Linked DNA regions of Schizosaccharomyces pombe. The gene in region 2 interacts genetically with the main gene of each other region. Each region holds a gene or a part of one and is shown on either strand. Other genes may lie near its edges.

Region 1 (4,016 bases), on a different chromosome or scaffold from region 2:
GCCCCGGTACGTAGATACTTGTCAGGGTTAGTCGGTGATATACTTAATATCTGCGAATATAACATAAAACTTATCGATTTTGATATTAATCACTTGCAACAACGTTTGACGGATCTTTCTCCAAAATTTCGTAAGGTAAAACATGAGCAGCAATTTACCTATCAGAAGAATGAATCTTTAGTTGAAGCGACTGTGCAATCTATTTCTCAGCATACACATTCCGAATTAGAAGATGCTATTGACTCATTAGGTTCTTTTGCTTCTGTCAAGTATTCTGGTTTTTTCTTTGCCTACCAGTATGCGATATCCGTAAGAGACGCCATGCAACAATATTTAGAAGAAAAATTGTTGGAGTCAGAAGATTATGCTCGAAAGAGGACCGAAGAAGCTGTCTTATGTATTCAAAAAGATGTAAAAGATAATTTTGACTCCGCCGTCCTTCCAGTCTTTCATGCCAACCAAATGTTTATTAAGAAACATAGATTGCAACTGCAGAAGCATTTTCGATTTGAACTTGGCTTGCTTGATTTTATAGATCTAGACCTTACTGAGAGATTAGGAACCTGGAGCGCTTCATTGAGTACTATTCTCTTGGTCCTTGGAAAAACAACCCCTTCATTTACAACGCTTGGTGCATTTACTGGAAATCTTGGTTATCCAATATTTAAATATTTTCAAAATAACTCGCTTCAACACTTATTGGTCCCGGTACTTGGTTTAGCAAGTATTTGCGTTTTTGGGTATGTTATTTACGATATACCTAGAGCACTTCCTCTTAAAGTTGCGGAAAAGATAAAAAAATCTTTAAGGGAGACAGATTTTTGTCACAATGCTAGTATTTGGATAGGTACAGAGAGTCGTAAAGTTCTCAATATTCCGTTGAATGATTTACGAAGAATGTTTCACCAACAATGGGATAAGCAGCGCGAGACTATATCTGTCGCTGAGAATGACTTACGAATTTGTCAAAAAGCAAGAAAGTTTTTTGGTGAAATAGAAAGCCGAACTCGTGAAGCTAAGAAGAAGATAATGATGGTTCAATTGGAGGGATGTGATATAAATTATTAGCAGTACGGGCTGAGGCTAAGTTTTAAAAAAAAAGAAAAGAAAATTGGAAGTGGCCTTCCTTACTGAAAACGATATACTCTTCGAGTTTATGTTTGATGATTTCATCTTATATTTTACATTCCAAGATTAATGAATTCAAGATACATCAAATTTCCATTTCCGAGTAATCATCCATATTCAATTTCGTAGCACGAATGCAATATTGGGAAGCATGGCATTTAATATTTTAATTCTGCTGAGGTCAATATACTTCAACTACTAAAGCCATGAGTTTTTTATTTAGGTTTCTGATGTCTTTCAAAGTCGATAAGAACATTTTATAAACTGGAATTTTCCTCAAGTTATATTGCATCCACTCAATTCTTTCATACATAAAATGTTTATGTCAAAATGTAATGATCTAAATTATAAAATCTATTTAATAACACATCTCCAAAGTAGAACAGAACTTGATATAAGACGATATAATGATTTTTGATAAATATCATCATTATATGGTTATAAAATGTATGCAGCACATCTACTAGCGTTACCGTGCTGGCAATTTCTGAAAAGCCCCTTATCACAATCTTTTTTTGAATTGCTATCTGAAATTTCATTTTACGGTTTTTATACATATTTTGGAAATATACCAATTTCTTTTGGTTACAGAGCCGCTTGTTCCATATTCTTACTTCTTTGAGCGACGATATTTCAATTAGTTAGTGTATTTTAAAAACAATACGCTGTCATTTAAGCTGTGCATTTTTTATCTTTAATTCATTTGTTCATCTCGATTTTTAGGCCTCTGAAGTACGCCTTGCAAGGTGCTTGTTCTGAGATACATAGTTGCGAAGTACTATCATAGTGTGTATCTCGTTTGATGTATATTCCCAATCTGAGAAATTATCACGACAAGGTGTTTCCTTACGGACCTTCTTCCAATGGCTACAACCCTGTAATTCGCTTGACTGATAGAACCACACAGCCTGATCCCTCGCAACATATATACCAGGAAGAGAAAATTAGTAAATGTGAAGGTCTATCATATCGAGCTCGTGAATGGCTTCTGCTTTCTTCTAACTCTAATGCCAGAGTAGCTATTGCGCTTGCTGAACCTGTGCTCTATTTACCTGGAGCGACTTCAAGTGAAATTCAAAGTGAACATTCAGCTGTTTTGCGTGGATCTTTGTGCATTCAAATTTATAAGCCTGTGAAATTGAAAAAGATACAACTGAGCTTTAAAGGAAAATCGAGAACAGAATGGCCTGAAGGCATTCCTCCAAAACTCTTTGACACATATGAAGAGAACAGTATTATGAATCATTGCTGGGTATTTTTTCATTCTGAACAGAAAGTGGATGAGAATTCACATGGTGCAGTGTGGTACAAAGTTTTGCCTCATTACGCAGATACCGCACACTATCCCCGCAGTATGGAATGCTTTTACCCTGGAGAATACGTGTATAATTTTGAGCTTCCTATCTCTTGTACATATCCAGAATCTATACAGACCGATATGGGTCGTGTATATTATTTCTTAGAGACATTGGTGGACAGAAGCAGCACCTTCTCTGGTAAGTCCACCGGCAGGATTCCCATTGAATTAATTCGTAGCCCGTGTAGTACTAGTGTTGCGACTTCAGAACCTATACTTGTCTCAAAGAGTTGGGAAGATAGGCTTCACTACGAGGTTCAAGTCGGTGAGAAATGTGTTGTAATGGGTCAAGTAGTTCCTGTCAACTTTAAATTCACCCTCTTGGGTGAAGTCAAGTTTCATAAACTTCGCCTTTTTTTAATGGAGCGAAGATATTATTATTGTCGCCAACGTTCAGTCCGTCGAAAAGAGAAAACCAGACAACTACTTCTGTATGAGCGTAGTGCTCCAAAGAACCAATGTTTGCTCTCCGATTGGAAGCAGGTTAGACCTGATGTTTACGAACTGTCTGATCAGGTACGTATTCCTGGATGTCATGACATGGCTGCCAATATTGTGCATTTCGATACTACGTATCCAAACATTAAAATAACACATACTGTGCGTACAGTACTTCGCTTTTCTTGCGAAAATTCTCCTGAATTAATGGGCTCTGCAAAATATTTGGAAATCTATATTGATTCTCCTGTCCGACTCTTATCTTGCAGATGTTCTGATGGTTCAACTATGCTACCTGCGTATTGTCCTATTATCCCCTCTAGTGAGGTAAATTTTTGCTCAATCGACAACAGAATCATTGCTGGTATGAACAGGGATCTCGCACTTGATTCTGACATTATCGGAAATTCTCCACCATCCTTTGATTCCTGGACCGCTGTCCCGTATCAAGCACCACCTCCAAAGTACGATGATATTTTTCAAAGTGGCAGCAGTCATGATGAAAATCATGATGACAACTAGTATCTATTATTTATCTGTGATTTATTATCTATTTGCATTTTTGTCTTGCCTTGTATATAAACGTTTTTGTTATTATATTTTTTTTCGCACTTGCTATTTCCATTGACTGTTGTACATGTTCTTTTTATAGTTTCATTAATATATTCATTATTTTTCTTATTATTAAACATATGTGTCTCATTACTAAAATGTTTTTAGGGTTAAACTAGCAGCAGTTTGCTGTAGAGAATTATTGGGGTGTAAGAGTTTATTATTTTTTCATTGATGTCATTGAAATCAACTTACAGAAAAGCAGTTATTTGTTAGGAGCTGCTGTTTTTATAACCGTGTTCTCTATAGTAAGACACGAACTCGTCTATGAGGGTTGGCCACGCACCTTCAAAATCATAATTAGAGCAATTGGGATCTGATTTAACAAATACACTAAAATCCCATAATTCATTCCACGTATCCTTTGGCAGAGATTTTTCGATAATAGGGGAAACTTTTAAAAAAGCAATCCAATCATCCAGAAGAGGAAAAGTATCTTTAAGAAGAATCTGGAAAAATTCAATGGCAATGGAAGTGCTTA
Region 2 (2,339 bases):
ATCATTTCTCTTCCTCTTTCGAGTTTATGGGCGTCTAGTACAGCTCTGAAATTGCAAAGCATGAAAACTTCATCTGCGCAAGGAGAAACCACCGAGGTTTCGATTAGAGTTGATAGAACGTTTGATATCAAACATACTCCCAGTGACGATTATTCGATTTCTGATGAATCTGAAACTAAAAAGTGGACGTAACTTACGCCTGAATGTATCTTTTTTGATAATTCCTAATACTGGCTCAATAACAGTCCCAAATAACATAGACGGTTTTTTTACGATAGGCTTGTAATCATAATTTGCTCAGAGGGAAGTTTTCTAATGGTTTTTTTTTTTTCGCTTCATGAACAATTGTTTACTATAAACATCAATGAAATTATATGATTATAATAACTTATTATCATGAAAACTTCAAGTCGTACTTCACAAACACTTATTAAAACAATAGTGAATGAACTGCCTTCGTAATCTATAATGAACTATAATGTTTTGAGTCTCCAAGTGCTTACCTTACGAACTTTTTTTTTTATTTAAAGCTTCTTGTACCGTAGAAGCCATATCATTCATCGAAGAAGCTAATTCCTTTCTAAGCATCGTTTGCTTTTGTACTTTGGCCGATTGCATTAGCAGTTCTTCCAGACGTGATTTAAACGTTTCCACTATATACACGTAAGTATTGAGCTATTAAATAAAAATTATAACCAACCTGCTGACAATAAAATGTATTTATCCTCCATTTATTTTTATCAAATATTGTATCGAAATGTTTTAGCTGCGAAACGTTACACTCCTTAATTTAGTAATAGCAATATAATAAGGATCTTTAAACCGATATGTGTTATTCTCAAATTGCATTGCTCCACTTATTTCAGTAAACAGATGACAAATATTCAATAATGGTATATGTCGATAATTATAATTCTTTTGTTTAAGTCTTGTATTCAATTTAATGCACACATCTAGTTACTAGAGAAATAAATTCTTTATTAAATCGGTTCCGCGATTCTTCATTTTTGCACAGCGCTCCTAGTCATACCAATCTCATAATAAACGATCGAAGTGTTACCTGCACATTAAACAAACAAATAGAGTCCGTGTTTTTCTTTTAAATAATAGTAATACTATGTGAAACGAAGAATCTTTTAACTAATAAGCGATAATATACATTACTGCCGAACAATTATAAATGCACAGTTATGGCTTTGAGTATAAGGGGTAACGATACTAATGCTAAGTACAATAGAAGATAAGATCATTAACCGTAAAAACCTTTGAGCTATTCTTTTTGCAGCCAATTGTTAAATTAATTTAGATACTTCATTTCTGTTTTATAATTCTCAAGATTACTGCACTTCGCTTTCCTACGATATTACATATTTACGATATATCACCGAATGCTCTGCTACAGTTGCAGTGCTGCTGTGTCATACGGTATATGGCAGATAGTTACCGCCGGTACATTACATAGGGGTGGACTTAAGAACTAACCTTTCACCAACTACACGAGACGTTTATAAAATGGAGTCTGCTCCCATTGTTCTAGATAATGGAACTGGTTTTGTGAAGGTAATCAGTTTAATTAAATCTTTGTTTACACTGTGACTAACGTTAGCAAGGTCGGATATGCTAAAGACAATTTTCCGCGCTTTCAATTCCCATCCATCGTAGGAAGGCCCATTTTACGTGCTGAAGAGAAAACAGGAAATGTTCAAATTAAAGATGTTATGGTCGGTGATGAAGCTGAGGCGGTGAGATCTTTACTTCAAGTAAAATATCCCATGGAAAATGGCATTATCCGTGATTTTGAAGAGATGAATCAACTTTGGGATTACACTTTCTTTGAAAAACTAAAAATTGATCCGAGGGGTAGGAAAATTTTGTTGACCGAGCCCCCTATGAATCCTGTTGCTAACCGCGAAAAAATGTGTGAGACAATGTTTGAACGGTATGGTTTTGGTGGTGTTTATGTCGCCATTCAGGCCGTTCTCTCTTTATACGCACAGGGATTAAGCAGTGGTGTAGTTGTTGATTCTGGTGACGGTGTAACCCATATTGTGCCTGTCTATGAAAGTGTTGTTTTAAATCATTTAGTTGGTCGCCTTGACGTTGCCGGTAGGGATGCTACCCGCTATTTGATTAGCTTACTTCTTCGTAAGGGTTATGCTTTCAATCGTACAGCAGACTTTGAAACTGTTCGCGAGATGAAAGAAAAACTTTGTTACGTTAGTTATGATTTGGAATTGGACCATAAGCTTAGCGAAGAAACTACCGTTTTAATGCGTAATTACACCCTTCCTGATGGAAGAGTTATTAAAGTTGGTTCTGAGCGTTATGAATGTCCAGAA
Region 3 (3,231 bases), on a different chromosome or scaffold from region 2:
TATCGGAACGTCAGTTTTGCGATGTGGAACTCATTTTGAACGGAGGTTTCAGTCCATTAGACGGATTCATGAACCAAAAGGATTATTTGAATGTCGTCGAGAATTTGCGTCTCAGCACTGGCGAGGTCTTTCCCATCCCTATCACCTTGGACCTCAATGAATCGCAGGCCGATTCTTTGAAGGCCGGTGATCGTGTTGCATTATTAGATCCTAGGGATGGGCAAACTGTTATTGCCATTTTGACTGTTGAGGACAAGTATACCCCAGATAAGGCGAACGAAGCTGAAAAGGTATTTGGTGCTAATGATCGCGCCCACCCTGCCGTCGACTACTTGTTTGGTCGTGCTGGAAATGTGTATGTTGGTGGTAAACTTCAAGCCGTTACTCCTATTCGCCATTTCGATTTCGTAGAGTACCGCTACTCACCTGCTCAACTTCGCTCTGACTTCCAGCGTAACAACTGGAATCGCGTCGTTGCTTTCCAAACCCGTAATCCCATGCATCGCGCCCATCGTGAGCTTACCGTCCGTGCTGCTAAGCAACACGGTGCCCGTGTGCTCATTCACCCTGTCGTCGGTATGACCAAGCCTGGTGATATCGATCACTTCACCCGTGTGCGTGTTTACGAGGCTATTCTCCAACGCTATCCTAAGGGTTCCGCCAAGCTCTCTCTTCTTCCCTTAGCCATGCGTATGGCTGGTCCTCGTGAAGCTTTATGGCACGCCATCATTCGTAAGAACTACGGTGCTTCTCATTTCATCATTGGTCGTGATCATGCTGGTCCTGGTAAGAACAGTCAAGGCGAGGATTTTTATGGTCCTTACGATGCTCAGTACCTTGTTGAACAATACGCTCAGGAAATCGGTATCACCATTGTTCCTTTCCAAATGATGACTTACCTTCCTGATGAGGACATCTACAAGCCAGTTGACAAAGTCGAACCCGGTACCCGTACTTTGAACATCAGTGGTACTGAACTTCGTCGCCGTCTTCGCGTCGGTGCCAACATCCCTGAGTGGTTCTCTTATCCAGAGGTTGTCGCTATTTTACGTCAATCCTATCCTCCCAAATACTCTCAAGGATTTGTTTTGGCTGTTCCTGCCACCTCCGATAAACTTCTCCCCAGCGCTCTAGTTTCAGCCTTGAACGAGGATGGTCGCCGCCATGTCACTCTTTTACCTCGCTTAGATGCTATTTCAGTGTTTTACGCCCAAGAATTGCAACGTGCTGGTGCTGCCGTTGTTGTTTCTCTGGCTGATGCTGATGCATCTGTTAAAGTACCTGCTGAGTGGACTACCGTAAACATCAAGCCCAAAGACTCTGTTTCTGAGGTTACTTTTGCTGTCCTTTCACAATTGTCTGACGAAGGCTATCTTTAAAATAATGTTTTTTGACATATATATATATATATATATATACATATATCCATTTTTGTTCTTTTATGTTCTACTTGTCTATTAAATAATAAAATAATTGCTGCAGGAATGACAACACTCCCTCATTAGAACTTTGCCATTTGTAGATGTAACTAAGAATGCAACTCAATTAAATTTCGCTAAGGACATGTTAGTAATTAATTAGCGATAGGCTTCTTAATAACAAAAGGTAGGAAATTCAATCCGAAGCCGAGGGGAATTAATTTATTATATATGTCAGATATACATAGCAGACTTTAGCAATTGCAATACATGCCAATGCAATGTTTTATTTTAATTCAGAAGTCATTATAACGTTAAGCCTATGCTCTCACTTAACGCATGCCTGGATGTAATACATTGTTACATTTACTTAAAAAAACTGGGCTTATAAAAAATATATATATAGGTTTTCTTTAAATTAACATTTCCTAAACTAAACTATTGATTTAACAAAAGAAATTGTTACATCTATTGTTATACCTAGGTATCCAATATAATAACTGTATACTACCTTACTTTTCCTACCAACAAAATCCCCCTTGAAACTAGTGCTCTCTATTTCTAAATAAAAGTAAGACCTTTAACTACTCAAAATGCAATCTATGCAACCTTCAACTGTGGATAAGCGTAAGTTCTATATTGTATGAATTCAGTCATTAACACTGAACAGTAAAAATGGGCGCCATTATGGGTTCAGCTGCTGGACTTGGCATCGGGTTTTTATTTGGAGGAGTAGCAGTTTTGCGCTATGGGCCTGGTCCACGTGGATTCTTAAGGACCTTAGGTCAATACATGTTAACATCTGCGGCCACTTTTGGCTTTTTCATGTCCATCGGCTCTGTAATTCGCAACGAAGATATACCACTAATACAGCAGTCAGGCTCACATTGGAATCAAAGATTATTAAATGAAAATGCAAATTCCAGTCGTATTTTTGCCTTGGCTATGCAACAGGCCAAAAGTTCTCCACGTAAATCAAATGAAGTTGCTGAGTGCTAATTTCGTTTAATCCGATTATAATAAAAGTATCATACTATCATTTTGTTAGTATATGAGGTACAATATTTGTTTCTCCTGAATTCTGAGTTAAAGATGTACTGATGATTGTACTATCATGCATTTAAACTAAAAAGCTTTGGCCGCTACATCAAAGGACTTTTGCATTTTTCTGATAGTTCATGTTTAAAAAAGTCTTTATACCATATTGTTAATATTTTGATGGCGATTTAATTTTCCTTAAAATTTTTACGATTTAAAGATTTGGGTAATTTGCTAGGTGGTAAATTGGTAAATTAGTTTGTTTCGATGAATAATATTTGTAGCAATAGTTACAAAAAATGATCGAAGACAAGCTATTACAAATAAGCTAATTATTATTTGATCATAAAGATATTTAGAAACAATACTTGTGCCTTAAAACTTGCAATATCAATAATGCTTGTCATAAGGAAGATTCGGTTACATATGGGTTGAAGATACATATGCTCATTAGTATTATTAAATGTATTATATATGCTTGATGTTATCACTTCTTTAGATGCTAATTGTAATGTAAATGCGTCTGTTGTCTCTTTTTGTACACGCATTATTAGTTGGTATCTTATATAAAACTTCGATTCAATCTCCAACTGGTAAAGCAAAATGCAATTAATGCCAGAATAAAATAAATATGCAAGTCCATAAACCGTTGTATGCACCATTCATAAGCAGAATTTACTGCGTTCATAAAGTTGCGAAAGCATAGTCTTCAAAATCTTTCGTTTGCTTCTTAGCCAAAATTCAAAAAAAAACTTGAAAGCACCTGCAAAAAGGT
Region 4 (5,127 bases), on a different chromosome or scaffold from region 2:
TTCACAACCTCATTTTCCAAGTATGTTCTCTGACTCTTACTCAAGGTGAAATCTTTGTGGATCGTAGACAAAATGTAGCTTAAGAAAATCTGGTGATTTCTGCAGTCTTATTTATGTGAATAATTTTGTTCGCCTACTCCGGTTTATTCAAACCAAAAAAACTCTGTCAAAAAAAGGCATCATTTTTTGCTTGCTTTAAATCATTTGCATTATCGTTGAATATACCAATAGAAAAACCTAAGCGTTGTTAAATGAATAAAACGACACTTCTGTATGAAAGCTTCGTTGCTTCCTATATTACCATGTTTCAAGGAGATTCGTTGATATACATGGATCAAATTTAGGAATTGCCGGATAAAGCTATGTTCATTTATCCTATTGAGAATGCAAAGGTCCTGATAGTAAATTTTTTTTTTCACCTGAAATTACCGTTTTTCAATTACCTGAACGAATCATGCTTTAATGCTCTCCATTAAGCATCAGTGCTGGATATTAGTTTTGGGAGTACTTCCGCAAAAACGGATCGAAATCCATGTTTCCGTCTGTGTGCTAGTCGTCAATCGCCCTGATACCGATCAACTACTCCAATAGTTAGTTGCTTTTCCCAGCGTCCAGCAAATTGAGCTAGCTAGCTGTCAACTTAATTAGAAGCAATTGTGACGACCATTTATCATTAAACAGAATTAAAATGCACGATATTGCAATTCTTTGTCTCTAGATGCAAAACCTTCAAAAGGAACGGAATTAAGTTAGTTCCGTTTTTCGTTAACCAGCGTCGTTGGTGACCGAAGTGCGAAAAGTTGCATAAACTTTGTTTTTTTTCTATTACAACATAATTTATTTCCAATTGTTTTAAAAACGTGTCTTTCAATGATTCAATTCTTCCCTACAAAATTTTTTTCTGGGAAGACGAATGTCAATTGGATAGGATTCCCACGTTCAAGTAATCGGAAGAAGTTTGACAATGAGCAACATGCATTCAACGATTATTGATTAAAATTCGGTGTTTGTAAAACGATCATAAGTAAGGAGAATTAAAACTGTGTCTATTTTTGGGAATTGAGAGATTGCTCCGTAGGCTTGGTAGACTAATGTTATTAACCTTCATTGTGTCTAGTCATTTTGGGATGCAGACTGTTCTGGATTATAATGCTAACCATTTGTCAATATCAAGAGACTTTCCCTAAATTTACATCCATGTACGATTTCGGTATGAAATTAAAAATTTCTGCAGTCACGTTCAGTTAGTCGCGCCTTTCATTACTCATTTTTTTCACTTGAAAATAAAATATCGCTAATTTTGAAAGCGCGCATGGAGTTTCACTCTTCCGACTTTCGCATCTAGTTTACCATAATTTTTAAGAAAACTGGTTTTACTGAGTTCATGAACGTTGTATTAAAAAGGCTTCAATTATCTCTATCTACTAAATGCAATGTAGAAGGTGGCAGGATTGCGCACGGACTTGTTTTACGATGCTTACGAGATATCGCTTGACTTTTTGGTTCACGGTGGACTCTTTACAACAGCTGATTTTCCATTCCACTAAACGAGCTGATAGTTAAACTGTCCGCATCTTCAAGGATTTGCAAGGGTCAACCTACTATCCAACCTCTTTCTTGGTTTCCGTGACTGCTCTTTGCTGGTAGCAAATCGATACTGACTATGCTTTGGCCAAGCCGAGGTGCACTTGGTTGATAAAGGAAGAGGATTTTTTTCCACCAATTGCGGATATATTTTAACTTTTGGACCGAAACCAAGTGGAAATTCCCTCGATACTTCGCTTTTTATGGTTAAGCATGTTAAAACATTACTTCCTTACATTTTATTGAGTATTTAGCGCAAATGAATCACTGCGCTGGCGGATCTTACGTGGTGAGAGAGCGGCACTTTTGTTCATCTATCGCATGAAAATGCTGGCTGCATTACGCAAGGTCATGTGCTGGATTTTCTACCAGTCCTCAATTATCTGGCGGTTTTTAAATCGCAAAAGTATATAAACAACCTCGACTGTCATCGATTTCAACATCATTTGTACACGATCTTTTCTAACTGAAAGCGGTTGTTGAGTTTTCATTCTTTTGCTCATACAATTCGTTTACAATTGGAAGTTAATTACTACTTCCTTTTGTATTAGATTTTTTCTTAACTTTTACTTTTTTGGTTTTTTTCTTTTTTAGAGTTTTTTTATTCTTCTTGATTTTTGAAAACGCTTGTTTTATTTGTGTTTTCTATAGTCCTTTGTGTTCTTTTTTTTTGAATTGAAATTAATACCCGCCTTTCTTTTTCTTTATTCTCGTTAATTTTTTTGAAGTCACGATGTCACTTCTTGTTAAGGCTGCTTTGATTTTGAAATGTGCTAGTATGCTTCAGGGTGTTTCTGCACAGTATTTCTGCCGTGATACTACTTTCGACAAGAGAACTTTGGAGTCGGTTCGTTTCGAATCGGAATGTATTCCCACTGTTAACAAAAGGGACTTGGATCCTAATGCTGAAGGTGTCTACAAGCGGTCTTTTGACGGAAATATGAACCCTTCCGATTTCCAATTATTACCCCTTGCCCCTCGTGATGGCGCCATTGTCAACGTTGACAAGGAATCATTCAGCAAGCGTTCAACCACGAACATGTTTGATTTTAACTTTTCTTGCTATTTCGGTTCTGATGGCCATAGCAATGACACGTTATGTCAGCAATACATTGATGTAGCTGACTCCGTGGGTGAACAATTCTCACGTGTGCTTAACCTTAACACCCCAATTGTTATCGATGTTACCGTTGTTGGTGCTTGTACTGGCGAGTCTGTTTGTTCCCAGGGTCAAGGTATGGTAGCAGGCAGTATTGGCGGTGAAGCTTCTCCTTCTCGTGAAATTCCCATGGCTTGCAGTGATGGTTTAACTCGTTATTATCCTCAGGCTGTAGTTAAGCAACTTGGTCTTTCTGATCCTCCTTCATATGCTGACAGCGATATTACGATTGCCCTGAACGCTGATGCTAATTTCTACTTTGGCTCTGGTGATATGGGCTACGAAGCAGTAGATTTGGCTTATGTCCTTTTCCATGAAATAACTCATGGTCTTGGTTTCTCAACTGGATGGGGTGTATTCGGATATGAGAATCTCACTGATCCTTATATGAACGCTCTTTTACCCACTGTCTCATATGTTATTGGTGAAATGAATGGAGAAACTATGTATGCTTTCCATGATGTTATTGAGAATGCTTTTGACAGGAATATTTTTTATTCTATCGACCCTAATGAGGGATTACCTACCATTGCTGAATTTTTCCATAGTGTCGGTGCTGCATTTACCCTTAAGGCTGACTCCATTGCCGGTGTTGTTGCCCAGATGAATGATACAACTACTCAGTTCCATATCCAAGCTAACGAAGCTTACCGCAAGGCCATTAATCCCGGTAGATTGGTTATCTACCCTGATGCAGGCATTGACACCTATTCACCTTTTATTTACTTGGATTCTTCCTATGTTCCATTTTCATCTGGATCATCTTTGTCTCATGTAGCTCTTCATCATTATGATTGTGAGCCCAACTTTTTGATGCGTGCTTTCTATACTGCTGGCGCTACTCTTGAATCCTACATCGAGTGTGCTTATGGAAGTGATCAAGCCGATGTCGCTTACGGTCCCATCGGTCCTGCTATGCGTACTGTCTTCAGACGTATGGGCTACTCGGTCAACAACCTTACTGGTGTTACCAACGAATATAGCGAGAGCTTGGCTAAGAGATCGTTGTCTGAAAAACCCAAGACTGCTCCAACTGGTAAACAGCTTGCTCTTCATCCTTTGAGAAGAGAGACATCTATCTTGGATTCAACCAACACCACTTCTACTAATGCCACCAACACTACTACAACTACCTCATCAAGTTCAACTGCTTCATCATCTGCTTCTGCGTCTAGTTCAACATCCGCCACCTCTGGAGCAGCTGGTGATTTGTTCAGTGTTTCCAAGAATTTGATGATGACTTTGACTGCAGGATTGTGCTTGATTACTGCAAGTTTGTTTTAACGCGGTTGATTTTCAAATTGAATCTTCCTGATGTATATTACTATATAATAAAGCTTTAAATTAGCTGTTAGTGAGATTTTTATGATTTGGCCATCAAAGTCAATTAATTTTTATTGCTAGGAGATGATACTATTAATGACGATATGAAGCCTTGTTTAATACTTTGTTTTCTTATGCAAACGCGAAACACTAGTTTTATTTTGAAGATTGCTACTAAATTATAATTTTGGTTGATAACTGTATCAATATACCTTGCACATATTTCTATAGAATTTCGATCTGCCCTTTTGTTTGTTAAGTTATAAAAACATTTTATCTTTTTACAAGATACTTTACCCGAATTGTGTGATTATAATTCCGTTGCTTTTTAACCGACGTGATGATGTATATTTTATATATATGCCTCTATAATAGTGTTTGGGTCATTTGTCTCACTCAAATTTTCGTGTGTATTTTACAAACACTTAATATTTTTTTTTTTTAACTCTTTAATGAAGGGAATGCTTTCAGTTTTACGCGAACGAAATTTAATCGATTGATGTTTTTGTTTTAATCTTAGTTAAGTCGCTGTAAAAAAGTAGTGTGATAGAAGGTACTTTGTATGACGATAGAGCGGTAGATGCGATTAATATTGTGAGAGTGAGTTTTGTTACAATCGGATGACATGTGTAAAAAAATCCTATATACTAAGATTGATATGGTGATGAATTTAAAAATATGCATTTTTGTGAGTAAATAAATTATATTAAATGTGGGAAAGACATGTAAACACGGTAATGGAATATATAAATATATATATATATATATAATGTTTGCTAGCACATTTATTCACTATAATTGATGGCTGTATAAGAGACAACGGTTTTAACGTTTAAAAATCTTTCGTTATATAGAAATTGTCTCCGTCTTAAGCACTAACGATCGTTACGAGCGGTCCCGCGCTTTTGTCGTTGATCTGATTGACACAATGGGCGGCATTTGTGCTTCGATTATCGTCGTCATATGCTTGAATGGTGTGAACGCCAGATGTTAAAATGCAATAACCATCAGCAACCTTATCCGAAAGTAGTCATAGCCGAAAATGGGCTTTTCCAGCAGAA

The links.
Region 1: mutations in fta6 (region 2) and aly1 together harm fitness more than expected from each alone (negative genetic interaction), as found in Schizosaccharomyces pombe (one large-scale study listed by BioGRID).
Region 3: mutations in fta6 (region 2) and mgr2 together harm fitness more than expected from each alone (negative genetic interaction), as found in Schizosaccharomyces pombe (one large-scale study listed by BioGRID).
Region 4: mutations in fta6 (region 2) and SPOM_SPBPB7E8.01 together harm fitness more than expected from each alone (negative genetic interaction), as found in Schizosaccharomyces pombe (one large-scale study listed by BioGRID).

The regions. Positions count from the first base shown.
Region 1 is NC_003423.3:595,681-599,696, forward strand, and holds aly1 (arrestin-related trafficking adapter), read left to right. Parts: upstream 1-1,617; 5' UTR 1,618-1,930; coding exon 1,931-3,445; downstream 3,446-4,016. Other genes in the region: dynamin-like GTPase fzo1, read left to right, coding at 1-1,068; neddylation protein Dcn1, read right to left, coding at 3,748-4,016.
Region 2 is NC_003424.3:4,781,543-4,783,881, forward strand, and holds fta6 (protein Fta6), read right to left. Parts: upstream 765-2,339; 5' UTR 732-764; coding exon 701-731; intron 654-700; coding exon 505-653; downstream 1-504. Other genes in the region: pheromone p-factor receptor Mam2, read left to right, coding at 1-192; ARP2/3 actin-organizing complex actin-related protein subunit Arp2, read left to right, coding at 1,513-1,560, 1,611-2,339. UniProt on the Schizosaccharomyces pombe protein: Component of the kinetochore, a multiprotein complex that assembles on centromeric DNA and attaches chromosomes to spindle microtubules, mediating chromosome segregation and sister chromatid segregation during meiosis and mitosis.
Region 3 is NC_003423.3:1,569,633-1,572,863, reverse strand, and holds mgr2 (protein Mgr2), read left to right. Parts: upstream 1-1,944; 5' UTR 1,945-2,011; coding exon 2,012-2,045; exon of another isoform or gene 2,046-2,088; coding exon 2,089-2,417; 3' UTR 2,418-2,660; downstream 2,661-3,231. Other genes in the region: sua1 (sulfate adenylyltransferase), read left to right, coding at 1-1,379; SPOM_SPBC27.05 (uncharacterized protein), read right to left, coding at 2,792-3,118. UniProt on the Schizosaccharomyces pombe protein: Required for cell viability in cells lacking mitochondrial DNA.
Region 4 is NC_003423.3:3,492,200-3,497,326, forward strand, and holds SPOM_SPBPB7E8.01 (uncharacterized protein), read left to right. Parts: upstream 1-2,022; 5' UTR 2,023-2,317; coding exon 2,318-4,027; 3' UTR 4,028-4,578; downstream 4,579-5,127.